Tamandua tetradactyla: one gene and its partners. The protein of the gene in region 3 binds, or shares a complex with, the protein of the main gene of each other region. Links are inferred from orthologs where the notes say so. Each region holds a gene or a part of one and is shown on either strand. Other genes may lie near its edges. The genes, in order: TUBGCP2, TUBG2, TUBGCP3 and TUBGCP5.

Evidence for each region.
Region 1: the proteins of TUBGCP3 (region 3) and TUBGCP2 are in contact, whole or in part, in a cryo-EM structure (PDB 8Q62), measured with the Homo sapiens proteins. The link is inferred for Tamandua tetradactyla from reciprocal best matches to the Homo sapiens genes TUBGCP3 and TUBGCP2. Residues at the interface, in NP_006313.1 of Homo sapiens: Glu272, Asn273, Cys274, Ser286, Leu287, Asp289, Thr290, Val292, Arg293, Glu296, Trp299, Ser361, Thr363, Leu364, Arg365, Leu368, Val369, Tyr372, Lys375, Ile376, Lys379, Ala382, Ala383, Asp386, His387, Ala402, Tyr403, Lys405, Thr406, Gly407; in NP_006650.1 of Homo sapiens: Gln172, His173, Pro175, Ile176, Phe177, Pro178, Trp180, Arg184, Ala186, Leu187, Ile188, Gly189, Phe191, Leu222, Tyr223, Val226, Val228, Asp229, Gly230, Arg231, Glu278, Ser281, Phe283, Gln287, His290, Ala291, Ala294, Arg297, Val300, Lys301.
Region 2: TUBGCP3 (region 3) and TUBG2 share a complex: the UniProt entries of both Homo sapiens proteins name them as parts of the gamma-tubulin ring complex. The link is inferred for Tamandua tetradactyla from reciprocal best matches to the Homo sapiens genes TUBGCP3 and TUBG2.
Region 4: TUBGCP3 (region 3) and TUBGCP5 share a complex: the UniProt entries of both Homo sapiens proteins name them as parts of the gamma-tubulin ring complex. The link is inferred for Tamandua tetradactyla from reciprocal best matches to the Homo sapiens genes TUBGCP3 and TUBGCP5.

Annotation. Positions count from the first base shown.
Region 1 is NC_135339.1:95,751,030-95,759,028, forward strand, and holds the start of TUBGCP2 (gamma-tubulin complex component 2), read right to left. Parts: upstream 3,019-7,999; 5' UTR 2,927-3,018; intron 2,406-2,926; exon of another isoform or gene 2,381-2,405; intron 1-2,380. Other genes in the region: ZNF511 (zinc finger protein 511), read left to right, coding at 3,054-3,206, 3,358-3,431, 3,842-4,043, 4,322-4,446, 5,469-5,621, 6,362-6,425. UniProt on the Homo sapiens protein: Component of the gamma-tubulin ring complex (gTuRC) which mediates microtubule nucleation.
Region 2 is NC_135332.1:24,574,756-24,582,537, forward strand, and holds the start of TUBG2 (tubulin gamma-2 chain), read right to left. Parts: upstream 3,004-7,782; 5' UTR 2,792-3,003; coding exon 2,743-2,791; intron 2,466-2,742; coding exon 2,353-2,465; intron 2,184-2,352; coding exon 2,016-2,183; intron 1,706-2,015; coding exon 1,637-1,705; intron 1,361-1,636; coding exon 1,251-1,360; intron 888-1,250; coding exon 761-887; intron 150-760; coding exon 63-149; intron 1-62. UniProt on the Homo sapiens protein: Tubulin is the major constituent of microtubules, protein filaments consisting of alpha- and beta-tubulin heterodimers. Gamma-tubulin is a key component of the gamma-tubulin ring complex (gTuRC) which mediates microtubule nucleation.
Region 3 is NC_135330.1:182,786,856-182,794,253, forward strand, and holds the start of TUBGCP3 (gamma-tubulin complex component 3), read right to left. Parts: upstream 3,001-7,398; 5' UTR 2,676-3,000; coding exon 2,600-2,675; intron 1-2,599. UniProt on the Homo sapiens protein: Component of the gamma-tubulin ring complex (gTuRC) which mediates microtubule nucleation.
Region 4 is NC_135338.1:74,105,863-74,112,996, reverse strand, and holds the start of TUBGCP5 (gamma-tubulin complex component 5), read right to left. Parts: upstream 3,017-7,134; 5' UTR 2,937-3,016; coding exon 2,791-2,936; intron 1-2,790. UniProt on the Homo sapiens protein: Component of the gamma-tubulin ring complex (gTuRC) which mediates microtubule nucleation.

The DNA of each region.
Region 1 (7,999 bases), on a different chromosome or scaffold from region 3:
ATGACACCTTGCTCGCCATGTGCCCTTCCAGCCAAGAGAGAAACTGTGAATGTGTTCACCATGTGCCTTTCCACATGAGAGAGAAACCCTGAACTTCATCAGCCTTCTTGAACCAAGGTATCTTCTCCTGGATGCCTTCGATTGGCCATTTCTATAGACTTGTTTTAATTGGGACATTTTCTCAGCCTTAGAACTGTAAACTAGCAACTTATTAAATTTCCCATTTTAAAAACCATTCTGATTCTGGTATATTGCATTCCGGCAGCGAGCAAACTAGAGATGAAAAACGAAGACAGCGTCCATAACAGAATCTTTTTTAGGCCTAAAATTGACTGGGGGGAGATTTGGCACAAAACTTTTGGTCCTAATTAAAAATTTTTTTTAACTTTTTTATTGTATAGTATAACATATATACAAAGCAAAGAAATAAAAAAGCAATGGTTTTCAAAGCACTCTTCAATAATTGGTTACAGGACAGATTCCAGAGTTTGTCATGGGCTACCATAACGTCCTCTCAGATTTTTCCTTCTAGCTGCTCCAGAATGCAGGAGGGTAGAGGGCTTAAATACTTTATCACAATCAACTTTTTTCCCACTTCTTTTTTGTGAACAATAACATATATACAAAAAAGCTATAAATTTCAAAGCACAGGACCACAATTAGTAGAACATATGTCAGAGCTTGACATGGGTTACAATTTCATAATTTTAGGTTTTTACTTCTAGCTGCTCTAAGATACTGGAGACTAGTACAATTTAATGATTCAGCATTTATATTCATGTGTTAATTGGTAAGTCCCATCTTCTCTGTATAATTCCACCATCACCTTTGATCTTTCTGTCCCTCTCCTTGTGGTGTTTGGGCTATGGACAATTCTAAATTTTTGATATTGGAAGGGTCTGTCACTAATATGGGGTAGGGAGATGGAACTATCTGATGTTCTGGAGAGGCTGGGCCCTCTAGGTTTCAGGACCTATCTGGTCCAAGGGCCCATCTGGAGGTTGTTGGTTCCTGGAAAGTTACTATAGTGCCTGGAACTCTTGTGGAATCTTATATATTGCCCTAGGTGTTCTTTAGGATTGGCTGGAATGGCCCTGGTTGGGGGTTGGCAGGTTATGACAGGTAGCAAGGTCTACCTGAAGCTTGCATAACAGCAACCTCCTGAGTAGTCTGTTGGCTCTATTTGAACTCTCGCTGCCACTGATCTTAGTTAAATTTCTTTCCCCACTTTGGTCAGGATGGAATTGTTGATCCCACAGTGCCAAGGCTGGACTCATCCCTGGGAGTCCTCTCCCATGCCTCCAGGGAGACTTTCACCTCTGGATATCATGTTCCATGTAGGGGGGGAGGGCAATGATCTCACTTGCAGAGTTGGGCTTAGAGAGAGGCCACATCTGAGCAACACCAGAGGTCCTCCAGGGGTGACTCTTAGGCATACCTATAGGTAGGCTAAACTTCTCCACTACCTACCTAAACTTCATGAGAGTCAGCCTCATGATCAAGGGCTTGGCCTATTGACTTGGGTGTCCCTAAAGTTTGACACAGTATCAGGGGATTCCCTGATGGTTAGGTTAATAGTTCCATATATTTTCTCCCATCCCTCAGAGGACTTTGCCAATACTTTTCTTTTTCACATTTAACATCCCCTCATCTTTATTCTATAGTTTTCACATGTGCTACATCTATGTGCATTGTAAACCCTACAATTCAACGTTATAATTTTTACTTTAAACAGTTTAATACATCTTAAAGAAATTTTTAAAAAATGTAGTTTGTATTTACCTGCAAATTTAACACTTCCCTTTACTCTATCCTATACCTCTGCTCTTCCATTGATTTCATTTTCATTCAGCCTAAAGAACTTCCAGTGCCACTTCTCATTGTGCAGGTCTACTGATAACAAATTCTTTTACCTGAAAATTGCTTCATATCATCTTTTTTTTCCCCTCAGTTCTTGTTCCACTGACTCCCGGCCTGCCTGGTTAATTACCATGGTTTTATACACACACATAATATTTCCCATAGACTTACACTGTTTTTTGAGGTGCCAATACTTTTTGATACTTAATATACTCTAGGGTGTTTCCAGGCATTACAATAATCTATACAGAATCAAAGAATCTCTTTCTTATTCTGTGCTTCCTGCGTTTCAATTGTTCAAATGAGCTATACAGATAGGTCCTAATTAAATTTTAATTAATAAATCTTATGCCATTTTTATTAGTTATATTTTTGTGTTAATTTCTTGAAGAAATAACACCCCCTTTTCCTCCCTATGACATTTATAAGCTCTGCTCAAGGATGAGACATGTTTGGGGGTGGGGAGCTCAAGTCCCATTCAGCAGCCCCTTCCCTCCCCGTCCGGTCTGCGCCCCCGCACTTCTCTTAGGCATCAGGTATCGCCATCTTAACAGGTAACTGCCGAACCAGTCAACACCTCTCTCCTGCTCCGCGGCACGCTGCGGGCAGGCGGGGACCACACGGCTCTCTCACCCGCGCACCCGAGCACCGGCACAGCGACCGGCCCCTCACGGCGCCGAGGGGGCGGCGGGGACTGAAAGGCCGAGATGCAGGTTCCCAGGGGGCTTCAGACCAAGGCAACGGGAACGCACTTAAGGGCTTTAAGCAAAGGATGGCGGCCCCAAACGCGAGCTTTCCAAAGACCACCGGCTCCAGTCCGGTTACTGGTCTGCAGGAGACGAGACTGCGGCGGAGGCCCGCGCAGGGGTCGGCCACGGGGGCGCGCGGCCCTCGGGAGGGAACCTGCGCGGTGGGCGCTGACGGGCGGCCCGAGGTCTGGGGGCCCTCCGAGGACCTCGCTTTGGGGCCTGGGTCGGGGGCGGTAGGGGGGCGCCTCGCGTCATGCGGCCGCGGAGGAAGCCAGCCTGGTCCCTGCGCCAGCGCCCGCGAAGGACCCGGGACTCACCACAGAGCCGGCACCGCAGCCGCCGCAGCCCGCGCGAACGCCGGAAGGGGCGAAACGTCACGTCCGGCCCCGCCCCGCCCGGGTCCCGTACGGTGGCCGGCAGGGGCGGGCGGCGGCGCCCTGGGCGATGCAGCTGCCTCCCGCGCTCCGCGCTCGCCTGGCCGGGGGCCCCGTGGCGGCCGAGCCGCTGCCCGTCGTGAGGGACCCCGCGGCGGCGACGGCGCCCTTCCGCTTCGCGGCGCGCCTGGTGCGCTTCCCGCGGGAGCACGAGTTCTTCGAGGTGCGCAGTAGAGGGTGGGACGGAGGGAGCGTGAGTGTGTGTGCGTACTCGCGCGTGGGGCTGTTGGGGTGGGGCGGGGCTTACGGGTGGGCGGGGCCTGGGCGGCGGGGGCGGAGCGCCGGCCCTGACCACGGGCGCGTGTCTCCTGCAGGACGGGGACGTGCAGCGGCACCTGTACCTCCAGGACGTGCTTACACAGGTGGCCGAGGAGCCCGAGAGGTGCAGGTGAGCGGTCCCAGCGCCCCACGCCCTCCTGCCCTGCTCCAGGTGCTGGCCCTGACCCCGCACGCACCCCTCATCCCTATTCTCGACCCCTCTGAGGCCCCGAGGCCCTGCTGGCACGAGCAGGACAGTCCCAGTCCAGGCTACCCCTGCCAGCCCCTGACCCGGCCGGGCACTGCCACCCTTACCTTTTAACCCTCCTGGCACCAGCCATGCCAGCTGCCCTGATCTCTCCCAGCTTTGCCTTGACCGCTTCTCTGCCGTTCAGTTAGCTTATGTGACATTTATTCATAGAATTAGGATTTGGGATTGTGAAAGGAACAGTGGGAGAAAACTTGTCTACAGACAGCCTAGTTCCCGTTCTTGGCAGGGTGGAGTTAGGCATCCCTGCGAAGCCTGTTTTCCTCGCTCAGGGTGCCTGAGTTCACCTGCCAGGTGGCAGGCTGCTGCCAGGTGTTTGAAACCTTGAAGGACTATGAGCACCACTACCACACGCGGCACAGACACGCCTGCTCCCTCTGCAAACGGGCATTCCCCTCTGCACACCTGCTGGACACCCACGTCCTGGAGTGGCACGATGCGCTTTTCCAGATCCTGTCTGAGAGGCAGGACATGGTGAGTGGCCCCCAGCACCCACTGAGAGGTCACCTCCGGCCCGCCCAAGGGTGGGTGCTAGGGCTGCATTGGTGGCAGACAGTCCTGGGTGAGGCTGCTGGGTCTGAGTCCCCTGGAGGTCAGCGTGCCCCTCCCAGCCTCCAGGACATTGGGGCAAGACCAGAGGGACCCCTTCCTGCCCTTGGTGCCCATGCCGCGTGTCCCTCTAGAGCTGGGCGCTCTGGGTGCGCGGAGGCACCTGCGGCGTGGTGATGGCGGGTGGCCCTTTCCTGTTTCAGTACCAGTGCCTGGTGGAAGGCTGCACGGAGAAGTTCAGGACCAGCTCGGCCCGGAAGGACCACATGGTGCGGCTCCACCTGTACCCTGCGGACTTCCGGTTCGACACGCCAAGGACAAGCAGAGGGTGTGTGGCGCTCTGGGCGAGTGTGCTGCTATGGCCGTCCTTCGGTCACCTTCAGTGGGTTCTCGCTAAGTGTCCGTGTGTCATTTAGCCAGATCCTTGGCAGGGCTGTTTTACGTGCAGCCCTGCTCCTGAAAGGGAGGGCGGGCAGGTGGGCAGCAGGCTGTCCAGGCTCCACTTTGGGAGGTGGGAGAGGAGAAGAGCATTGGGCATGGATTGGGGTTCCCATTGTGGGAGCTGGTCCCCCAGAAATTGGTCATTGGTTGGCAGACGTCCACACTACAGAGATCTAGCCTCTGAGCCCGTTCCTCTCGCCTGGGGCCTTCCTGTGTGTCCCATCCAGAGTGTGGGGTCAGGCTTGTTTACAGTTGACGCCCTCCTGTGAAATTGGGGCAGAGCTTCCAGGAATATCTACCAGCTTTGTGTTATGGTCCTTCTAGCCTGTTTTTCAAGTGAACCTTGATGATAACCAAAATTTGCATTGATTCGAGTTTTTTCAGAGTACTCTATTTTCTCTAAATGGGACCTTGCTGTTGAAGACAGAATAGCTGTGGGAACTATTGCAGTGTGGGAGGCTCTGTAAGGCTTTGTGCTACAGTGACTCCTTTCTCTGGGGTGACTTTAAAGAAAAAATCTCTACATTGCCTTACGGAGGAGCTTGTGGGTGGTATTGGGGGCACTCCAAATACTTTATAGCCTCCCGTTATTTTTAGTAAATTTCTCACTAGTTGTCATGAGCAGATGCTTGACTTGATACGTATTTATCTCATCACCCCTAAAAATACAGTTTTTAAGAAACAGAGTGGCTGTCATACTTGAGTTTATACAATAGTTGTGTTTACTGTGTCATGTTCACTTTTGGCCTCTAACGGTTCTCTTTTCCTGCTGACCTGAGATGTTCCCTAGAAGATTAGACTGTTTCCCTCTGTGAGCAAACACTTTCGCGAGGAGTCGTGCTCCTGGCAAGGCAGTTGGGGGCTGGGGGCATAGCGCAGGGCACCACCCTCACGGCGTCTCCTCCGCAGCCGGGCCCCACCTGGGCCACGCATCCCCCTGACGGCCGGAGCCCTGGGCGGCAGTGGCGAGCAGTCGGAAGGGGACGCCATGGAAGTCTCTGCAGACGAGCAGGTGGCCATGCCCCCGGGGGCCCCTGTGGAGACGCGGACGCACAGCCGCAGGTCAGTGGCAGGCAGCTTCAGGGCTCCACGTGGGGAGTCGGGGTTTGGCCCTGAGCTGGGGCATTCACCGGCCGACTCTCCAGGTGAGGGTGTTGCTTCGCTGGAGTTGAAAGCTTCAGTATTCCCATTTCCTGAATAATTTAATTTTTTATTTTTGTGTCGTCTGTTTTTGGAACCCCTTGAAGCCCAGGAATGCAAAGCGTGTCTACCTTTTCATCATTGCCCAAACTGAAGTACAAAAAGGGCAGTACCTAATCGGTCAATTCTAGCTGGTGAGGCTACCTGCCTAGTATTAACCATGCTTTTCTTGGGCTAAAATTGCTTTAATTTCTATTTTGGGGGGAAATATGGAAAAATCACCAGAGATTCTAAACTGCCAGGAGAGGGATTGTGTGTCCCTCAGCTGCCTTCTGCAGTGCCTGGACGTCAGCCTGTGAGTCCTATTGCCGTGGGCAGTGTGTCTGAGTGCTGTGGGCAGCGTGTCTGAACCCCAGCTCCGGCCGGCTGGCTCTGCACAGTGGGCAACCTCGGCCCCGGGGGGTCCCCCCACCAGAAGTGGGTGTGAGGCGGGCCGGGAAGCACTGCCCAGGGCTTGGGTAGCAGAAAGCTGGAGATAAGGGAGCCGGCACCCACTGTCCCAGTGCAAGAGGGTGGTCAGCACTGGGGAGAAAAGCTCGGGACCAGGGCCAGGGGCTGTTGGCCGGCAGAGAAGCCACTTCACGCCCTTCTCTCCGCTCCAGGGTACCTTCTACCATATGTTTTGGTCAAGGCGCATCACGAGGATTTAAAAGCTCCAAGAGATGAGACCAACACCTGTGATGGATTCAGAGAGAGGCGAGCGCAACCGAGGCCTGAGCAGGGGTGCGTCCACCAGGAGTGGGCGGCTTCTCGCGTCCCCCGACAGCTCTGGTGCGGGACGTGGGCCTTGGCCGCCCTCCATGTCCCGGTCATTTGGTGCAGGTGTCAGTGTCCGTCACGCAGACTGGAACGCCAGCCTGGCACGCCCGCTTTCCATCCCTGCTGGAGGCAACGGGAGCCCATGCACTGCCCCTGGCCTGGGCGGCAGAAGAACTGTGTTTTCAGATAAATGTAAGATAAATGATTTCCACCGGTGGTCTCTGGTTCCGTTTCTGTATTTTTTAACTAAACAGGGACGCAGCCGTTATTACCCATGCCTGTTTCCCTTTCTGTGTCGGGTTTCATCAAGGGCACATAGCCTCAGGTCTCTCGGGGGCGGCTGGCCGGGTACCATGCACACTCCGCTTGCGGCCCTGAAGCTCGTGGCTTCGGAGGAGGTGCTCTGTCTGCAGTCCCGTCCGCTGCGCAGTGGCTGTTCGCAGGGGCCTAGGCACTGGGCATGCAACAGGGAGCGTAGCCTCCTGGGGGAGGCAGTGGCAGGGGAGGAATCAGTGGGTAGGGACTGGGCGGGGGTGGTGGTGCAGGGAGGATGTTTGAACCGATCTTAAGGGCAGGAAGGGGACAGGGCAAAGGAGCGGGAGGTTCACAAGTACCTGTCCCAATCCAGGGCCCAGGCAGGCACAGTGAATCCTCATCTCACGTCTCTCCATGGACACGTGGGCAGAGGAGTGCAGAGCCTGCAGCAGAAGAGCCAGTGGGGAAGTTGGGGCAGGCAGGTGGAGCAGGGGGTGCTGAGGCAGCGTGACACTGGAGAACACCCTGCATCAGCCCTGTTTTCATCAAGTCAAGAGGTCTGAGGACCAGACCTGCAAAAGTGGGGACCCTCCAGGGTGTACCCCTTCCAGAGGCCCCGTCCCCGCCAGGCACCGAGCCGGGGGCATGTCAGCTGGCTAGTCCAGCCCCAAGGGTCCCACCCCCTCCCCATCCCACCTGCACAGCCCTCTCGCTCTCTCTCTCTCTTTCCCTCTCTCTCTCTCTCTCGGGGCTCAGGGTTTAGCCTGAGGCAGTGGGGTGTCCTCTGGCTCTGGATACCACAGCTGCAGCCCCAGCCCCTCCTGAGCCAGGCCCAGAGCTCGGGGTCCCTGGGGCAGTGGGCAGTGGAGCGGATGGCCATCTGGGTCTGGGGAGCACTGTGCCAGCAGCTCAAGGTGCTGAAGACTAAAGGTCCGTCAGCAGACGCTCAAGCAAAAGAAACTAACATGAGAAGTGCAGGTCTTGCCTGGTGACAGAAGGCTGGACGCACATGCTACTGTGTGGAAGGTGGCCTGGATTGGCAGAGGGCCGCCAGGCAGCTGGTCCTGGGGCAGACTGGAAAGGGCCGATTTGTGGGGCCTGCACTCCTTCCAGCTCACCCCGATGGCCAGGCCCGCTGGTCCTGACCTCTGTCCCTCCTGCATCCCTCCTGGAGGCTGAGGGATACAACTCTGAGCCCATGTGCACATCGGCACGTGCTGCTAAGT
Region 2 (7,782 bases), on a different chromosome or scaffold from region 3:
TCCCCAGACAGCCCACCAGCAGGGAGGGCGCTGGTGCAGGGAGGTCCAGGGTGGGGCCACACCAGCTGGTTGATCTGGGAGAAGGACGGGTTCTGGATGTGCAGGCGGTCAGTGGCGATCCGGTTCAGAGCCGTGTTGTCCAGCACCACCTGCGGGGACAGAAGAGGGCCACAGTAACTTTTGAGGAAAAAGGGGACATAGAAAGTTGATATTAGCTTAGACCTAAACTCCAAAATCAGGAATTAGTAGTCTCTGGGGCACCCAAGACACTTTTCTAGTGTCCAGTGTAGTAAACAAATATTTTAGTTTCTCTCTCTGTGTCATGCATTTTACTTGGCCTGGAGGTACAATGGACAGAAAAACAGGCATGGTCTTTCCCCTCACCAGATCTTCAGTCTAGTGAAGGGAAACAGACATTAAATGTAAAACACAAATATTATAGCTACAATCTGAAATATGCTTCAAGGAATCTGACCTTGACTGGATGGTCAGAGATTTCCAGGAGAAAGTGACCCCTGAGCTGAGTATCCGAGCATGAGTAGGCATTAAGCAGGCATAGTGGGGGCAGCTGGGTGGGAGGTTTGCTCTGTTGAGAGTCTTGCTGCCTAAAGGGACTGTAAACAACTTGAGGGTTGGATATGATTTCAGAATTCAGCTCATAAGATTTTGTTCTCTGGAAAGGGGCATGGGCAGGGCAGAGTGTATGTGATCCCCTGGTTTGGAGAGGTTGACCAAAGCCCCAGCTCTGTTCTGTGCTCACCACACAGTCTGCGTTCTGGGTCAGCCTCTTGAGCGTGAGCAGGGAGTTGTAGGGCTGCACCACCACATCGCTCATCTCATCCTGGTTGGGAAACACTGAGTACGTCTGCACCAGCTTCTTGGGGTACCTGAGGGTAGGGGGAGGGGAGGGCGGCACAGTGAATTGGAGGCTCCCCATCACTGCCCATCTCTTTATTCTCTAGGGACAACAGGAGCCATTCCTCTACAAGCATCACCAAATTCTTGGATTGAGGAAGTAAGGGTAGAAATGTATCTTCAGAGCTCAGGAGCCAGAAAGGACAAGCCGCAAGCATTGAACCTGCCATCCCCTGAGTCATTGCTTCCAAGATGCTGCTTGGGTGGCCAGGCTCTGTCCTTATGACTCAAAAGAGGTAGTGGCATACCTTCCAGTTCAATAGAAGAGGTGACAAAAAGGAAGGACATCACCTAGGGAACCAGGGCTAATGCCCTCTCCCGAAACATGGGCTCACCTGTCATTCAGGCGCTCCAGGAGGTAAGAGCCCAGGCCTGAACCTGTCCCCCCGGCGATGGAGTGACATAGCACAAAACCCTGTATGGGGAGGGGTGGAGAAGCTTCAGGCTTGTCTCATTGCACAACATACCCATGTCTGGAGGCTTCCTGTGTGTCCATCCAGGTTCAGAGCCTTGAGCAGAGGCTGAATGACTCATGCCTAAGGGGCTGATGGCACTCAGATTGTGGCATGTGAGGACAAGCTTGTCCCTTATCTCTCAGTACTCTACATCTGATGCTCAATTGATAGGTTTCAAATTGCCTCATCACACCAACTGTTCAGGCCACCTCCTGACTTTTCCCCAGCACTCTCCAGGTTTTTCCTTCAGCAGGGGAGAGCCTCACCTCTAGGCTGTCACTTCCATCTGCTTCTCGGTCTATAATGTCAAAGATGTCTTCGTGGATTTTCTCACCCTGAGTAGAAATGTGTGGAGGAAGGATCACGGTGAGAAGGTTCTGGGGAGCATCTCTTTTCAACACCAAAAGCTCTACCCTGGGACATTGCTGCCACCCTCAAGCAGAGCCTCAGATGTGGTCCTCAAACTGCAGCTGCTACTTGGCAAATAATTTGCACACAATTTGCATAAACCTCTTCCCAGTTCTTCCTCTAGTCAGAGTATCCCCCTTTGTCTTTCATTTATTGTTACTCTGATCCGGTCAAATCCCCAGGCTGCTTAAACCTGCCTTGACCTGGGGTGTCTTCTGGGATGGCCTGTTTAGGCACCTGGGAGAATCCACTGGCCCAGTTGTTGCCTGCTCCTCCACCATGCTCCGACAGGTAGATGTTCTCTGGGTTGTAGAGCTTGGCGTAGGGGGAGTTGAGGATGGAGTGGATCACCCGGGGCTCCAGGTCCAGCAGCACAGCCCGCGGGATGTAGTGCTCATCATCTGCCTGAGCAGGGGAGTCCAGGCCGGGACCCAGTCAGCTGGGGCCTAACCAGTGCTCCCACAACCCAACCCTGGCTCCTGCCTGCCCCCCTCTCCTCAAGCCCTGGCCCCTCTGCCAGCCGGTTTCCAGATCCCAGGCCAGTGCCCTTCCCTTCCAAAATCGCTGGGGGCACCTGGTAGAAAAAGACGTCCTTGCGGTCAGTGCCTTCGGTGGCGAACTCCTCCACGATGCCCTCGGGGCTGATACCATGCTCCGCGCACAGCTGTTTCCAAAACTCGAATCCGACTGGGGGGAAGGGTGAAGATGCCTCGGTCTGCTAGAGCCGTAAGAACTAAGAAGCCCAGGGTGGGGGACAGAGACTGTCACACTTGGAGAGGGCGCTCAAGACGCCTGGGTCCGGGACCCCGCACAGCCTGGGGGCCGCTTTTGGTCTGGGGCTCCGTTCATCACGCGCATTAGGGTAGGGATGCATGGAAGGGAAAGGAGGACTGTAGGATGCCAAGCACTTGGGTGGAACCCGAAGGGGCAGAACCGGAGCTGAGGGGACCCTGCACTCGCTCACTCTGGTTGCCGCACTGGCCCAGTTGCAGGGTGATGATCTCCCGGGGCATCACTCTTCAGACGTGGGCGCTCAGCACCCCCGGGCAGGAGTCGTAGCAGAGACGAGTGCTTGACAGCGGGGTGCGCAGGACGTGGGAAGCACACTCTCCTGGTCTCTTGACGCGGGTGTTCGGTCTGCGCGTGTGCAGTAGGGGCCTCCCCTCGGCCGGCCTGCCGGGGAGCCAGACCTGAGCATCATTTTCTCCCACAGCAATTACAGCTGGAATTCGGCACAGGCGCAGACTGAGGCCACGCCCTTCCCCCTTGCCCCCTCCCGCTCCCCGCTCCGCGCCTGCGCATTGAGAGGCAGCGGGGGCGGGGGGGGCGGGGACCCGCAGGGTCGCGACCGGAATCTGGGGGAGGGGAGAGGCTGGGCCGCCGTCGCGTACTAGCCAGACGCTCCAGATGTGTGGAGCTAGCTGTAGGGGGGTAGATGTGCGGCTCTGCGGAATCTGCTAGGGAGAGGAGCTGGGTCCAAACAAACTCTCTTCTTTTAAATTTAATTTTACGAAAACTTGCAAACATACAAGTACGATATTGTATTTTTATGTTTAAAATGTTTTGTAATTGTATTTAATGCCACTGAATTACACACTTTAAAATTATTATTCTGGCAACTTTTATATTATGTATATCTTATTTTATATATGTATTTTAAAATTTTTATATAAATGATGACAGTGTAATATCCTTTTGCAACCTCCTTTTTTTTTACCCTATCACCATACATTGGGTTTTTGTGATTTAGCCATATTGACACTTGTAGATTTATTTCATTCCCTTTAATTGTTGTGTAGTATTTCGTTGGGTGAATAAAACCAGTTTATTCTATTTCCAAATAGAAGGGCTTAGATTGCTTCCATTTATTCCCTATTAGAGGAAGCACAGGACTTGTCCATTTATGAGCATGAGGGAAAATGCTGCTAGAAGGGGCTTGTGCAGTTTCAAATTTACTAGGTTTTGCATATTTTCTCCAAGATGGTCATATTAATTTACTCTCTTCCAGCAATAGAATTCCCATCTCTACACTTGGGCTATCAGATGTTAATTTTTCATAATTCTATGGATGCTGAATGAGATCTCATTGTTGTAATTTCCAGTTATTGTCACTAGTGAAGTTGCTGTTCTTTTCTTTTTTCTTTTAAACTTTTTAAAAAATACTTTCAAATTTAGAGTTACAAAAATAATACGAACTCCACACTGAGAACTTCAACATATCCCTATTCCCTCACATACCTAGACCTACTAGTTTTAACATTTTGTCACATTTGCCATATCATTCTGTCTACCTATCAATCTATCAATTCATCCATCTGTTTGCCTCTCTAACAATTCATTTTCTGAATACTTCAGTATAGGTTGTATACATCATGCTCCTAGAATACTTAATACAGTCAAAAACATTTCTTAAAAACAAGGATATTCCATTTTATGTGTCCACCTCAAGTACAATTATCAAGTCCAAGAAATTTAACATTGATGTAAAGTTTACAGTTTATATTCATGTTTTCATATGTCCCAATAATGTCCTTTTGAGCCTTCTCTCCTCCTCTATTAGATCCTGTCCAGGATCATGTATTGCTTTAATTGCTATTGTTTCATTTTTCTTTTGTTACTGGCTTTTCAGGATTCTTCCTCTGTGAAATGCTTGTTTGTATCTTTTGCCCATTTTTTCTCCTGGGTTGCTTCTCTTTTTCTTATTGATTTGTATGCATTTAAAGATGTTCTAGTAATCTGCCTCGGTTCTATGAGTTGCAAATATTGTCTCTTGGTTGATGGCTTGTCTTTTCACTTTGCATAGAATATCACGAGATTGTTATAGAGATTTAATGTGGGCAAAGTTATCTATCTTTTCCTTTATATTTTGCATGTTTTATTCCTTGTTAAAGAAACCTTTCCCTAACCCAGTATCATAAGTTATTCTTTTATGGTTTTTTTCCCCAAAAGCTTCATACTAGTTTTACTTGTTCCTTGTGGGTCTTCAGTTCGTCTGGAATTTATTTGGAGGCCTGCTGTGAGATAGCATTCTATTTTATCTTTTCCATAGGGATGTCCAATTGTCTCCAAACCAATTGTTAAAGAGCCCATGCAGTCTCCTGCACCCCAAGGAACATTCCAAATCCTCACCGATGTGTTCTGTCTGTCTGTCCCTGTCTGCTGGGCTTTCTTTGCAAGTTGTCTGCAGAGGCACTGGTAAAAGCACTCTTTCTCTCTCTCTTTCAAAAGAACTAGGCCGCCTTCCAGTCCCCACCCTCCTGGAATCCTCAGGCCCACTTCTGTCCCTTCCCCAGCTTTGGTTCAATTTCACTCCCCTCACCCCACCAGGGCCTTCTAGCCAGCTTCCTCCACCTCTCGCCTGTCAGAAAATCTTAGGCATCCCTCAGGGGGACCAGTAGACGTGACCTTTTGGGGAGGGTCTGCTACTTCCTTTGAAGTTTAAAGGTGGAGTCTAAGCAACTCTCTGAGCCTCAGAGACTCTTCCTCCAACTGGATCACTCCCTAAGATCTGGCTGTCTTCAGAGGCTTTGCCAAGACCTTTACAGAGCTCAGCGTCTGCCAAGGGGTGAAGAGGAAGGCTTCAGAGATGAGAGCAAACTTGCCAGGCCTCCCTGCCTTGTGAGTTTTCTAAGGCTCAGTTTGCTTCCTTTAAAATAATAACAAGCTATAAGTAGTTTATGAACTCTTGCAAAACATGAGTTAATTTTTATCTTTTCATGTGATTAATAACGATGCTTTCCACTTCCTGGTCCCCAGAATTGTGAAAAACTCCTTCAAATCCCAGTTTATAGGCAAGCAGGTTAGAACGTGTGAGTTTATCTGAGTTGGAAAAGTTGCTGTGTAATAAGTCATCTCTGATGAGCCGGAGGCTCTTCTCAGTCTGGTAGAAATAGCTTGGAAATGCAGATGCTTATGCACCTTAGAGAGCTGAATGTAAATCCTTCCAGTTCTTAGCAGACTATGGTTTTCCATTTCTGCTGAGAACTGACATCCATATCAGTTAAATGAGATAATACATGAGCACTTAGCATGGTGCCTGACTTATAGTAAGCACTCAACAAATATCAACTGCTGTCATTACCCCTGCGTGCAGCTGGAACTGAAGTACAACTTGGCTACAACTATAGATGAAAGATTTTATTCAAGATAAAAGTAAAGTTGATATTTACTTTAAATACATTAAAAATAAATAAAACGCAATGATTGGTCATATTCAGTTTCAGCTGTAACTTCTACTGAGGTTGAATGAAAGAACCACGTTCATTATCTCCTGGATTTCAAATCTAGGGTCTCAAGGTCATTACCCGTAGTTAAGTATTGAGTTTAATTTTCTTGGCTCCATGTTCTCTGACCCAGATTATGACAATGTAGTGGGATGTGGCGTTCCTTTGTCTGAGGCCTTGCTCTGCATCTGATAATAAATGTAGCATTTGTAAATAACTAAGAAGTTTGCTAAATGTCCAGAGTCTTGATTGGACACTCCATATTGAATAAAAAAAATTTTTTGATACATCTTCATTTCTGGCCTTTCCTGGATGCCTGCATGTACTGTCAAGAGCACAGGTATATTTTGGAGGTTAGAGGTAGAAGGGTGAGGTGGTGGACTGAGGGTGTATCTCAGGGCCTGGGAGAAAGAGCAGTGTGCATTTCATGGAAAAACAGGTAGTTAGAGTCAATTCTAGGCATGAGACTGGGATTCTGTGGCCCCATGGAGTTTAATTTTCAAAGTGAAGGCAAGGGAAAATTAAAACTGTGACGAGAAAGAGCTGAAGCTCTTCATGTAAGGGGAGTTTTGCTAAATTCACATTTTGACTATGAAATAGAATGAAACAGCTGACTTGTTCCGTATGGTTTTTCAAGGAATAGGAAGTAAACCAAAATAAGAAGTAAGCCTGTGTGTGGGCCATTTGTTAATTCTTGTATTGTGCGCCTGTAATGTGTGGGCACCCAGTTATAAGCTGGGGAAATTGAGATCATCTTGGGTTGTTGGGTGAAGGTAGAGCCATTTATTGAGACACAGGGAAATCAGGAGGAATGTGTTTGAACAAGTGGGGTTTTAGGGGACCTGGGGATGTCTAGATGGATTTAGGGGTCCCAGAGGTAACAGAGAGTGCACAGGCCTAGAGCTAAGGTGAGAGATCTGGGTGTACAGCCATCCTTGTCCAGGCAGTGGTTAAAGGCACACAATGAATAGGGTCACAAGAGAGAATGCACGGTGCAGGATGGTCCTAGATTGGAAGAGGACTCAGAATAGAATCTGGTAGAATTCAACAGTTAAGTGGTAGGAAGGAAGATTTCATGGCAAAGGAAAATGAAGGAGCAAGCAGAAAAGAGGGAGAAAAACTAGTGTGTACAGGTTTGGTTGTCTACCCTCTTAGTTTTGGACAGAGCCCATTTTGTTCTGCATCTTATCTTTTCTCCAAGTGGCTCATGGGTGATCCTGATTAGTCCAAGCCAATCAGAGTAATCATAATTTTCTTGCCAGGGACTAATTTAGGAAGGGACACATGATGGAATTCAGACCAATGACTTGTGAGGAAAAGACTTCTGGGGGCTCTGGTGAAAGATCTCCTCACTAATTAAGAATGAAGAGCCAACAGGAAAGGACATACTCTCTTCTTTAGCTGCATGTTGTTACATTTAGATATGGCACCTGGAACTGCTGCACTTTCAGCCATGCAGAGAGCATTTTGAGGACAAAACATCATGCTGTGGATGGTAGGACAGAAAGATGGGAGGCACCTAGATCCCGATGACTGCTGAGCCATCAAATTAATCAACCATGGTTTGATACCTGGACTTCTTGAAATAGGAGATATATTTTCCTTGTGGTTCAAGCTATTTGATTTGGATAATCAATTCAAATTTTATTTGTATCTGAATGCACAGACATAGAGAAGGGTATAGCAGAAGCCTAGGAAGGAGAATGTTCCAAGGGGGAATAGTTTGACATCAGAGGCTGCAGAAAGATGGAGTAATAAGGGATTGGAAAAAGGTGATTTGA
Region 3 (7,398 bases):
ACTGAAGGGCAAGAATGAATTACTCGAAAATAAACTGTAGACGCAGAGAGTGGATCCAATCTTAGCTCTGCAATTCATAAACCAGATGACAGTGAGCAAAGTCTTAGTTTTCTAGTCTATTAAATAAGGTTAATAATATCTACACAGACCTCCCAGAACTGTTTTGAGACTTAAATACACTATCTCAAGGTATACACACAGCATTAAAATCAAAACTCAATAAAGCATCCACAGTTTTAAACTTTAAACAAGACAAATAATTTGGCCTTCAATCTGAGGATTATAGAGAGAGAAAAAAATACGTTTCCTCAACAAACGTCATTAGATTTGTTTTCTAGGAAGGGCCCTGTGACTATAGTATAGAAAAGACTAGTGGAAGTGAAAAACCAAGGCAAGAAGCTCAACTGGAATTGCACTATCTCAATTCCAAAGGTTAAGGCTCCAAAGCACACCAAGATGTAGGCCCAAGAACTTTTAAATGAAAGATGGTTGTCCTCTGTATCTCAAAAAGGTTATACATACATTCAGGTAAAAGATGACAGCTGAATTTAAAAATATACAAAAATAAACAATTCAGGGGTGCAAGGTTAATTCAGTGGTAGGATTCTTGCCTGCCATGTGGGAGACCTGGGTCTGGTTCCCCATCCATGCACATCCCCCCTAAAAAAACAAACAAGCAAAAACAAACAAACAAAAATTCAACAAATGGTGTTGCAATAACAGGATACTCACATGGAAAAATAATGAAATTTAACCCTGCCATACAGCATACCAAAAAATTAAAAATTAAAAATAACAAACAATTCAAGTGAACAAAAATTCTCAAAATCCAGTTATGGTAATGGAAATATATGAATGCATGGTTTATCTCTGAAGGAAAAATTTAAGAACCACTGCTATGATAAAACAAAGGCGTTAAAGTGGATTAGCCATAATTAACAATCTTAGTGATCTGGATTCTCCTATAACTATGAACATGAAATTAGAAAGGTAACTGAGAGTGCTAGGGATACACATACAAAAGAGAGAAAAAACCAGAAGACAGTACACCAATATACCTCAAGGCCACTGAACCTTTTCCCTCTATCTGGAATATTCCCTATGTATTCACAAGGCCCTCCCTCACTCCATTCTGATCTCTGTTTAAGTAACTCTTCAGAGGCTTTCCCTGACCTCTTCTCTATTCCTTTACCTACATTATTTTTCATTGTAACACTTACCACTAATTAACATTAATTATTTATATTTTATCACCTGTTTCCTCTACTATAATGTGCACTCTATAAGAGGAAAGACAATTGTCTATTCTGTTCATTTCTGTATCACACCACCACCACAATGCCTGGGATGCTCAAAATATTTCTAGGATGAATAAAGGGATAAAGTGAAACACTTGCAAAATGTAGCAAGAACCATGAAGGCAGTCATTTACTATAGTGGCAAAAAAAAAAAAAAAAGTATCTTTTGCTCCTAAAGTTATCACATAACTAATGAACTTCACACACTAATGGTCACGAGTCATGAAAGAAAGGTCAAAATGCAGTCTCACAACTTTGTTAACATGAAACGTTTTAAAAGTCTTCCCTCAAAACTTGTACATTTTCATTTCTACAATCCAGTGCTTAAGGAATAAATAAACCAGGTGGTTCAATTTGGAAAATTCCCTTCTGTGCATCACCACCCTACACGCCCAAAAAAATTTAAAAAAAAAAGTATATATACATACATACACACCCCCCCACACACACACCCAAAGAGGTTACATACCACACCACTTATTTTAAGTGCCACGGCCCAAGAGTGGCTTTACATATTGTAAAGGACTGGTTTTTGGTTTTGCTTCTTAGTAACAATATTCGCTATGCGAACTTTCCTGGGACAGTTTTACATCAAACCCAACCCTCAACCCTTTATAGTAGAAAAACCTGACAGGTAACAGTCACAAATACCTCCTTTACATTATACTCAAATCCGTTACACTTTCCTAACGACAAAGGTAACACCTGTGGCTAGCCTTAACCTTCCCCCGACGCTGCTCCGTGGTGTTCTGTTCCAAAGGATGCGAACGTCACTCTTGCAGCAATCAGGCACGTGTAACTGGGAACCAGTTCTACCCCTTCTTTTAACTCCACTCAGTAAAAAAAAAAAAAAAAAAAAAAAAAACTGCAAAGCATCCACCCCGCTATGTGACATTAGAAAAGGCGGATAAATTCGCAACCCGACAGTATTCCTCCGTAATTCACTCTTGCATCTTACAGATCAAGGCCTATTGAGACCGGGACTCAGCCTGCTCTCGAGGCCCCCAGATCCCTTACACCCCAGTACTCTCTCCTGTCGCTGGCCAACCGCGCGGCTCCGGGCCGCCTCAGCAGTGACCGAAGCATCTAGCAGGCCTTCGGCAACCCTTCAAGGTTCCGCTACCGCTGGCCTGAGGGATCCCAGCCCCTGCCCTGACGCCGAATCCTGTCCTCCTCCTGAGCCTGCTGGAACGTCTCACAGCCCGGACAAGAAGAGAGCGGCCTCCGGGACAGATCTCCGAGTCCCAAGCCGCCCGGTCCCACCCCTGCGGCGCTCGCTCCTGCGGCCCGGGCGCGGTTACCTTCGCTTTTGCCCAGAATTCGGCAGCACAGATTCTGCAGCAGAACATTCGGCGACTTCTGATCCGGGGTCGCCATCCTCGCCTCGGGACTGAAAACGCAGACAAACGGAGGTTGGGACGCAAGCGGGCCGGACCCAGGTGGACTGCCCCTGTCACTCACCCACAAGCTGCACCCCACCCTCCCCAAGGTGGAGCACGCTCCGGGGACTCCGCGTTGACCCCGCCGCTGCTGCACACAGGAACCCTCCTGACATTCAGCGCCGCTAGCCCCTCTCCGCGCCTCGCGCTTGGGCTCCGGCGTCCTCCCCTGACAGGCTAAAATATAGAGACCGCCGGTGTAAAGGGCGCCATTTTAACAGAACCCGCCGAAACTGCTAGCCAGCCCCCACAATGCCTTTCGTCTTCCCCCACGGCTCCAGGCCTTGCGCGTGCAACGACTTAAAAGATCCCCCTCTCCCGTCTCCGCAAAATTTCCCACGACCACCATCGAGCGGGCCAGAAAAGTTCCGGCTAGCAAATTGACCACCTTACTAAGCTTTTGTATCAGTAGTACTGCTTTATGCTTCTCAGAACGTTTCCTGGACTTTTTTAGAACGTTGCTCAAAGGTTCATGATTGTGAATGACTTTCTATGAGAGTGCTTGGTGGTCAGTAGGGCCTTTATAGTCCATAATTTTGGGCTTTTTTTAGTTACCTTGGTTTGAGTCATTCTTGCCTGTTTAAAGTACGAGAGTTCTATGGTTTTTAACGTTTGGTTTAGCATTTCACATCTGCTGTGACCAAAGCGGGCTCTTATAAGCAGAGCATGGGACTATTTACAGGGCATGGTTTTAGTTATACTGACTTCCCAGCCCCAAACCTTCACCGACTCCACTACCTCAATACCCGTTTAACTATGACATCATCCGAAGAGTAAGATCCAGAAGAAAAGTGAGAGAAGAGGAAAAGGCCTGAGGAGAAAAAGATAAATAAGCCGGCAGTTACATCATTCAAGCTTACACAGGCTCCACAAGGGAGACAAAGGCACTGAAAACTTCCCAATTCTGGAACTAAATGAAACTAATGATCCAATCTACATATCAGCTAGCTGGCCCAAGGCAAGAGATCCTGGCAGCTTTTTACAGTTGATTAGACCAGGGCTGGGTACTTGTCCCAAACTGGACCAACCAACGTTTCTTTCCAGGGAATTTAGAATTAAGAGCAAAAGAATTTGTATCTCAGGATGACCTGAGCTATAACATGGATAAACAAGGCACCTTCAAACAATCAAGTGAAGTAAGTGAGAAAGAAAGCAAATCAACCCTCTACTCACTCTCCTCATCACGGTCACAGAAAAACTCAAAACTCCTCTACCTAGGACTATGGAAAAGTTTCCTCCTTGAACTAGGGGATGGCAGACGATACCATAATAGGTGCCTGTTGAGGGCCAAGACACTGAAGAAAGTCTTTTGCTGTACTAGACAGTTAATACCTGTGCTCTTATTCCACTTGAATGCTAGGAATAGGAAAACCATTAGGGCCATAAGACCAAAACAGTCTCTGAGTGAGGCATTTAGAAGGTCAGGACTTCAAAAGCAAAACTGCAGTTTCAGCGGTTGCATATGACCATAGCACTTCTTGCCAGCCCTACAGCTATACTTGCCTGGGCCCAAGAGCAGGCATGATATCCACATAATAGGGTAAAAAGACACAGTGAGAGGGAAGGAAACTAGAGAGCACACAGCACAACATACTACATATTGAGCTCTTGTGACCTTACAACTTCATCTATTACTGAACTTTGCCTCAATGTATTTCTGTCTTCCAGTCTAAAAAATGAAAAAATATGTAAAATGCTACAGTGTGGTGGATATAAAACATGATGTAGACTTGGACTTGTCTACAGACTAGTCACACAATTGGAAACTAGGACACAGAGATAAAAAAGGACATGTTATAATACTGAAAGGGCCAGTTCATTAGGAAGATAAAATAATTGTAAGTGTATAGGACTTCAAGAGATGATGGGGTGAAGGAAGAAAAAATTTAGACAAAATTGTCAAAACAAACCAAATCAGTATACTGTAAGTCAACAAAAGACAATTAAGAAGCACGTATTGACTTAGAAAAATCTAAGTCTGTGTTCTTCTTGCCAGGGCTGCTAAATCCCCCCTCCACAGCTTGATTGGAGAGTACCCTGGGACTCCTGTAAAAGGTTGGATGCAAAAACTGTCAACTTACCTGGTAGAAGAACAGACTTGACATGGTGCAAGAGGTAAAAATCCATAGCTTTGCCAGTTAAAAGTGGCAGACTTTTGCAACTTTCCTGTACATTTGGAATATTTCAAAATAAAGTTCTCTTTAAAAAAGAAAACAAAATAGAAACATCAGCAGTTTCATGCCATGGGAAACAAATCCCACACTTTAGGACCAGACAATTTAAATGTGTGCACGCACACACACACTAACACGGCACCCACAGCAGTCTCATGGAACTATCTCTTGCTTCAGCAGTTGTTAGAACAGATCTGGGTGCTAACCCCCTTCCCCCATCAGCTTTCAACCATAGTCCAACTTTCTCTCCAGTTGCAAGCTCCAGCACCACCTTCTAGGCTATTCCCTGCTTCTGGAGCCAGCTAACACTATTTATTGTAGTTAGTTTCTCTTTCTCAACCTAGCATGAGCTCCCCCATCTACCAAAATTATTCCTGCAAAGTGGAGGCATTCATCAGCCACCTGGTCAATTTTCTCTGGCAGTCTCCCATACCTACCATTCTCTGAACTTCTGTTTCAACTGCAGAGCTGTGGCCCTGAAGAACAAGTAGGTTGTGCCGGTCTCAATCTGTGGTGGACCTCAGAAAAGCCATGCCCTTTGATCCTCATTCAGAATTGCTGGGTGGGAACATTTTGATTGCTTCCATGAAGATGTGACCCACCCAATTGTGAGTGGTAACTTTTGATTAGATGATTTCCATGAAGGTGTGTCTCTACCCACTGAAGGTGGAGTTGCTTGCTGGAATCCTTTAAAACAGGAAACATTTTGGAGAGAGTCCTTTTTGGTAGAGCCACATGAGAGCCAGCAGATGCCACCATGTTCGCCATGTGCCCTTCCAGCTGAGAGAGAAATGTTGAACATTGTCGGCCTTCTTGAACCAAGGTATCTTTCCCTGGATGCCTTAAATTGGACATTTCTATATACTTGTGTTGATTGGGACATTTTCTTGGCCTTAGAACTGTAAACTAGCAACTTATTAAATTCCCCTCGTTAAAAGACATTCCGTTTCTGGTATATTGCATTCCAGCAGTTAGCAAATTAGAACATAGGTGAAGGAGAAGTGCCGAGGTGCCAAATGTCTCTCGAAGATACAAAACCAGTGCAGCAGCTGTGCCTCTTCCAGGATGTGCAAAAGCCATCCAAGACGAGTGGGGTAAAACCTTGTGTATTAGTTAGGGTTCTCTAGAGAAACAGAATCAACAGGGAACACTTGCAAATATAAAATTTATGAAAGCATCTCACGTGACCGTAGGAACGCAGAGTCCAAAATCCACAGGGCAGGCTGCGAAGCCGATGACTCCAATGGATGGCCTGGATGAACTCCACAGGAGAGGCTCACCAGCCAAAGCAGGAATGCAACCTGTCTCCTCTGAGTCCTCCTTAAAAGGCTTCCCATGATTGCATTTAGCATCACTAACTGCAGAAGACACTCCCCTTTGGCTGATTACAAATGGAATCAGCTGTGGATGTAGCTAACGTGATCATGACCTAATCCTATGAAATGTCCTCATTGCAACAGACAGGCCAGCGCTTGCCCAATCAGATGAACAGGTACCACAACTTGGCCAAGTTGACACCTGTCCCTAACCATGACACCTTGTATGCCACAGAAGCCTCTATGACCATGCAGAAGAACCTGAAACTGGCTGCTATGGATCTGCATGCCCTGACTTGTGTACACACAGACCCTATCTCCTTGGCTCCCTGGAGAGTCACTTCTAGATGAGGGGGTAAAATTCATGAAGAAGATGGGCGACCATCTGACCAACCAACCAACGAGGGAGTATCCCTTTTTAAAGCTCCTCTGAAGTACAAATAGAATCCTCCCTAGCCCAGAGGGCCCTGTGGGCTCTCCATTCCCCCTAGCATCTGGACTTCTGCCTAAGCCCCTCCCTCCATCCAGGAGACATCTTGCAGCCCTCTAACAAGCTGTGATCCAAATATGAACAGTAAATCTTTTTGCAGCCAAAAAAGCAAAAACCCAGAATGAAAAGCTGCTACACATCAATTAGAATATGGCTAAAGTAAAAATCTGACCATACCATGTACTGGCAAGGATATGAAGGAAATGGAACATACTTACAATGCTAGTGTAAATATAAATAGGCACAACCACTTTAGAAAACAGTTAAACATATATTTAACACAAGACAGACATTCCATGTCTAGCTATTTATCCAAGAAAAAAGAAAGCATATGTCCCTAGAAAGACTTGTACATGAATTTTTATAGTAGCTTTATTTGTTATAGCCCCAAAGTGGAAAGAGCCCAAATGTCTATCAACAGATGAATGTGATAACACACTGTAGTGTATACATACTCAAGAATAAAAAGAAATTAACTATTAATACACACACCAGTATGGATGGATTTAAATATGATTATGTTGAGGGGAAGGAGCCAGACAAAAGAGAGTACAAACTGTATGATTCTAACTATATAAAATTTTAGAAAGCAGATGAATGGATGCCTGGGATTGGGTAAGAGAAGCAGGAGAGAGAGCTTACAGGTCATAATTAAATTTTTGATGATGATGTTATGATTTC
Region 4 (7,134 bases), on a different chromosome or scaffold from region 3:
GCTCAAGCATCCCTTCCTTAGGACACAGGCACATCCTTCACCTCCCCAGTTCAGTCGTTTAGTTCCTTTGTCCTCCCGTAATAACCTGTGTCGCCAACATAGCACATTCTATATCAGGTGTTTGTAATCTTTTTTATACCACAGTGAAACCTAAAAGACCCCTACCCAGAACAATCTTCTAAACGTATAAAATAAAAACAAAGGGGTGGGCCGCGGTGGCTCAGCGGGCAAAGTGCTTGCCTGCTATGCCGGAGGACCTCGGTTCGATTCCCGGCCCCAGCCCATGTAACAAAAACGGAGAAACAGAATACAATAAAACAAGAAAATGTTTAAAAATGTTTCCCTTTCTTCCTTCCTTCCTTCCTTCTATCCTTCCTTCCTTCTCTCTGTCTTTCCTTTAAAAAAAAAAAAAAATAAAAAAATAAAAAAAAAAAAATAAAAACAAAGAAAACTACTATATTGAAATACAGTTGTCAACTTAAAAAATGTATAACAGATATCCCCTTTTTAGTTTAAGGTATATTAGAAGGGCTAGAGAGACGTGCCTGAAACTGCAGCGCTGTGTTCCAGTAGTCATGTTTCTTGAAGATTAATGTATAATGATACAGCTTTTGCCATGTGACTATGTGATTGTGAAAACCTTGTGTCTGATGTTCTTTTTATGTATGGTATGGACAGATGAGTAAAAAATATAGATTAAAAATAAATAAATAATAGGGGGAACAAATGTTAACATAAATTGAGTAGATTGAAATACCAGTGATCAATGAAAGGGAGTGGTAAGGAGTATAAAAAAAAGGGGGGAACAAAGGTTAAAATACATTGGGGAGATGGAAATACTAGTGATCAATGAGAGGGAGGGATAAGAGGTATGGTACGTAAGGGTTTTTGCTTTTGCTTTTCTATTTCTTTCTTTGGAGTGATGCAAAAGTTCTAAAAAATGATCATGGTGATGAATATACTACTATGTGATGATATTGTGAGCCACTGACCGTACACCATGTATGGAATGTTTGTATGTTAAGAATGTTGGTGTCTGCACGTTGTTTTGTTTTGTCAATAAAAATTTTTAAAATGTACATTAACTAAAGTACTTCTTTATTAATGTAATAATAAACAAGATCTAGCCTAAGTTCAATAACTACCATTGAAGTAACAGTGAGCAATATTGAGAAATATCTGCAGCAACTATATTATGATGTAAAAGTAATCTGTGACCTCTACTGGTGACAATCGTAGGCTAACAGCCTAATACTATTATGGTTTGTTACCTTCATTCATAATTGAAGGAATTACTACTTTTTAGCTAGAGGTTATGTAATATTTTCTTATCCAAATTCACATACACCTGAATTCCATTTTCAGACTCTCAAGTTAAAAACACCTGTTCAAGACTATATTGTAATTGTTCCCTTTTGTCCCTGTTTTCCTTAAAGACTGAAGTTTTTATTATCTTATCCATTTCTGGATTTTTAGGACCTAGAACATGACCAAAATTTTAAAAATGTAAACATGAATTGTTCCTTTTTCTGACTGACTAAAGCATCTCAACAGTACAGTATAGCTTATTCAACTCTCATTTTCCATTTTTTTGGTTATCAAAGTCAGCAATCCGTACTTAAAAGTAGGAAATTACACTTGTGAATAATACATCTAAATCTACCCCAATATCTGGTTGTGTGGGAACATCACCCTACCTATCATAACTTAGTTTCTCAATCTAAAAAAGGAGATAGTAACTTAAAGTTCTCCTAACTAAAATGATATCCATCTATCTACTGACATTTAAAAATATTAATAAAAATCATTTGGGATAGCACATTTAATTTTCTGTCTTACATGAGATATTGCAGACAGTGTCACTTTTCTAAATCACATTTAAGAACTGTGTTGATCATTTCAGAAACGTACAGATCTGAAAGCCGTCTATTCTTATTATAAATCAAGTAGGCACTTTATTGTGATAATCAAGATTACAGATAAAAAAACTGTTTGCGATTTCTATGAAATTAAATGGGCAGAATGTTAACACTAACACTTACTTTTAGTAGGAATTCCATTACAGTAACGATCACAACAGTATTGTCTAATTTATATTTTCCCTAAAGAAAAGTAGGCGCTCGACTGCAACCTAATTATCTAAATCGTAGCTATTTAAAAAATAATTAAATGAGAAGCTGTATTAGAGGTTGTATTGGGTGACTTAGTGTACTACGGGTCTAGAACTGTTCTAGGTGCTGAGATACAATTATGAACAAAACAGACCAAGAACCAAGATCCTTGCTCCCCAGCAACTTACATTCCAGCTGGGTGTGGGGGAAGGTGGAGACAAAGAGTAAACAACTGATATATCCAATGTGTTTTGATAAGCGCTCTGGCAAAACACCGAGAGCAGGGTAAGGGAGATCTGGAATGGCCCGGGCAGGAAGAAGGAGTGAGAGAGAATACAACTCTAAATAGGATGTGATCATTATTTTGCTCTTAAGACTCGTACTGCACAAAGCGCAATGGCTACAGTAGAGACAGAGTACGAACCTGCTCTCTAAAAGCGCACATACTAAGACGGGAGGCGGGCACTCAACAACTCACAATTCACTGTAGAAGCACGCGTGTGTCTCGCGACGGGGCCACAGAAGACCCTAAGGCACCGAATAAGGGCAGGGCCTATGCGGGTTTCCCCGAGGATCCCACAGCTAGGTTGCGCGACCCCGCCCCTCCTCCTCTGGGCTCGCTGGGCAAAAAGGACACAAAGACCCAAGCGCAGAGTCCCCGCCCGTGAGCATCCCACACCTGAAGTTGGACCAGACGAAGCTCAGGGCGAGCTGGAAGTTGGGGTCCGCCTCATCCTGCAGACCAGTCATATGCCGGACGAGCTCCAGCACGTCCACCTCCTGTTGTCTGTCCAGCCAGCTCCACGGCGGAACGGCTCGAGCCATTGCCCCTGCTATCCCTCACTACCCGCGCATTCGCACACCAGCAATGCAAGTTCTCGGTGAGTTACGACTGCTCTCGCGAGAGTTAGCTCAGCCGCGGCATTGGGTCTCGGCGACGTTTGGTTGCTATCGCAAGAGTTCGCGCTTCGGTCGTGTGACGACTAGGGCGTCAGTGCGCATGTCTTCTGGACAATGCTGCCGGTATTGTTTTTGTGAGATGTTGGTGTTGTGTCTCCCACTTGCACTTAGTAAAGTTGAGTGTGTTAAAGAAGATACTGCAGAGAAGAAAACCGACAAGGAAACAAAACAATACAAAGATAAAGAAGATACTGCATTATTTGAGGTACAGACCGTTTGTGTGACCTGCATGAAGCTCCATTCCTACGCTGAGCTCCAGAAAGCTCGCTGCCGACGCCGCTTCCTGGGAGGTTCTCTCACACCTCTAAGGCACAGTATTGTTGCCGAAGGATTTTCTCCTCATCGAACTTAAAAGATATATATCATACAACCTTCGTGTTTAAGACAAAATGTAGCATATTTATATAGACAAGAAACAACTTTTGGAGAAGAGTAACTAACATTTTCTCTTGCTCTGCAATCCCCGTAGACCCAGGAAAGCGCCTCACATATCGCTTGGTTGTCAAAAGAGACAAGAACACCGAAGTGCGTACAGCAGGACCAAGAGAAGTGTATAATTTCGAGGTTGAAAGGAAAACACAGAGTCTTAATCCTCCGCCTGCCATTTAATGGGGGTGTGGCCTCAGGCTAGTCGCTTCTCCCTCAACCTCAGTTTTCTCAAAAGAGGGTTCTGGTGGGGCAGAGAAGGGTTATTCCTATTTAATAGAGTTAGTGCGCATACAGCATTTAGAGCCAGGCACTTGGCAAGTCCTCCAAGAGTTAATTGTTACTATTAAGAGATATGTAATGGTCTCTGGCTAATTTTGGTTGATGGTTTAACTTCTGATAATTTTGATCATAATTCAGTAATATCTTTTATTTTTTTGGGTGGTGGAGGGTAAGGGGAGCATGGGCCTAGAGTAGAACCCTGGACTCCCGTGTGACAGGGAGCAGGGGCTTGGGCCTACGAGGACCACTAGCAGAAACTGAGAACAGATGGTTTTTAAAATGGGGGGAAAATATGTATCTTGAAAGCTATTTAAAAACATACTCATAATGAGAGAAAAAGAAAGATCAGTTGACTAGATAGCAGCAAAGAAAGAAATCACCAGACACATTAAAATACAAGAAGAAATGCCCCAGTCAAAAGAATAAATCTGAAAGAGGAGATATAGAATCTGGAATAGCTAATCAAAGATGTTCAAACAAATTTCCTGAAAAAACTCAAATAAATGAATGGGAATATGCATGAAGAGATAAAAGATACTAAGAAGAAACTAGGAGAGCATAAAGAAGAATTTGGAAGAATATATAGAAAAATAACAGGCATTATAGAAATAAATGACACTAGATGATGTTTAAAATATACTAGGCACACACAACAGTAGGTTTGAAGACGCAGAAGAGTATCAGGTGAGAGCATTCTAGCATTGAGCCACCCATGCACCCCTTAGTATATCTTTATACCCTTATTTTCAGGTACCATGACTCTGGTTAGTTGTATATCCTTCTCCAAGGTTCAGTTTCGTATAGAAAAATGAAGAAATTGAACATAATGACCTTTTAAGTTTTCCTGTCACACAGGCCAAGTGATGACACCTCACTGCTCCAAGGTCATTTTGAAAGATGCCTCCTGCTCTCAGTTGCTTATAACGGAAAATGGCTGAAGAAGGAATTTATAACTATCTGGCCAAGGTTGGAGAACTGCCTTTGTTATTTGTAATAAAAACTGCCTTTATTTCTGTTAACTATTGCTTGTAGCAAACCATTTAAAAACTTACTGCATATGTCTCTTTAAAAATTTTTTCTTTTAGAAATTTTATGGGTTTTCATGTGGCTTGTTGCATTGCATTTCTATAGTATTAGATAGTGATATACCACCAATAACATTGCACAAGATTACCTTAAGGAGGAGGAAAATTATTCTGTATAAGAGAACTTATACGCTTTCCCTGGGCAATCTCTTTATTCTAGTTTCAACTCTCATCTGTATGCTTATAACTCTCAAATCTGTCCATACAGCTCTCATTTTTATTGACACCCAAATCAATAATTGGTGTCTGTACATCACCAAAAAATCGGTATATATAAACACACACATGCACTTTGGTTCAAGGCCAAAAATTAAGGTCTTGTATTATTTAGGGTTCTCTAGAGAAACAGAATCAACAGGAAATACTCGCAAATATAAAATTTATAAAAGTGTCTCACATCATCGTGGAAACGCAGAGTCCAAAATCTGCAGGGCAGGCTGTGAAGCCAACAATTCCAATGGAGCGTCTGGACTAACTCCACAGGAGAGGCTCACCAGCCGAGACAGGAAGAGCCTGCCTGTCTCTTCTGAATCCTCCTTAAAAGGCTTCCAGTGATCAGATTAAGCATTACTCATTGCAGAAGACACTCCTCTTTGGCTGATTACAAATGTAATCAGCTGTGGATGTAGCTGACATGATCATGATTTAATTCTATGAAATGTCCTCATCGCAACAGACATTGCCCAACCAGACAAACAGATACTACCACTTGACCAAGTTGACACATGAACGTAACTGTGACAGGCCTTATGTTATGTGTGGCTTGTTATGTATAACTGGGAGGACTTTGAATGGCCTAAAGTTCACCTTCCTGTTGTACTTCCATGGGTGCCCTTGCCAAAACAACCTCATTATCACCAGGACCAGGCACAGTACCTCTTATCTTTGAATAGCAGGCTCCAGTCTCCTGGTAGCCCATGGGGGGTTATTTATTTATTTATTCAAATAAACCAACACATCCTCTTGTGGGTACCTCCTTTTTTTTACTACAATGCCTGACCCCCATGGCCTCTGCTTGTTCACTTTGTTCTCAGGTGAAATCCTGGTGAGACCTTACATGGCACAAGATCCTTCTCCTCAAAGCTGCAAATATGTATGACTAATGAAGTGCTATTGAGTTCATCTGGCTAATGTTGGGTGTTCTGTGTTTGACCATTTCCATTACCCTAGGGCAGGAATCCTTCTATCACCAATGGGGTGAAGAGTGGGAAATCAGAACCACCAGTGTTATAACAGGATGGGTCAGCCATGACTGAGAAAACCTCATCAGCTTTAATGGACCGCTCTTGGGTAACCAACTGGTTCTCTGATATGACAAAGGCTGCTGGGATGGAATTGCCAGTTGCTGGAGTGCTTGCATTTTGGCTTGTGTGGGATTGTGTTGTGTTGGCCAGATGTTGACACCTCTCCCTACCTAAAGTACATTCAACTTCTAGACAAGAATTTTTAATAGGCTATACCCTGGTCTTTTTGTTTGCCAGGGCTGCTACAACAAATACCACCCACTAGTCTGACTTAAACAACAAAAATTTATTACCTTATGATTTTAGAGGATAGCAGTCCAACATCAAGTTATCAGCAGAGCTTGCCTCTTCCCAGAAGTGGGTAATATTCTGATGATGGCAGTCCTCCATCACATAATGATGTCCTTAGTCTCCTCCTGTGGCTTTCTCTGCTTCTGAAGTCCTCAGTTCAGGCTTTTAAGACTGCTAAATTATCAGATTAGGAGATTCCCCACATTGTTGAGGTTATCGCTTTTGTTGATTGTAGATTCAATCAGCCATATTTCATCTTTGAAATACCTTCACTGTAACTATCAGACCAGAGCTTGCTGGACATCCTGTCCTAACCAAGTGGACACATGAAATTAACCGTCACACCTGGCATAACATGACATTGCATTCAGCCTGCATTTAGAAGATTGTCTCTGAGGCTTCTGCCTGTAGGGTGGCAACAACACCACCATAATTAGTTAGTGCTTGAGTCCACTTTTACTAAGTGTTGGGCTAGTGCTCCATGGGCACTGCATCTAGTCTGGTGACCATTACTTGGGGCAGCCCTATGGAGTTGTGATTGGGATAGACCTGGGGATGGCCCGTTGTCAAACAGGAAGGAAGGCCACCACCTTGGGGAGAACTAAGCATACCACCTTGGTTGCTTAACAAGAGTTGTTTTTCAGGCAAAGGAGTGAGTAACCTTTACTCATCTCTTGTGCTGCCAAGGGCACACTCTCCAGATACCATGGGCTACACATCCTTGGTAGCCCAAAG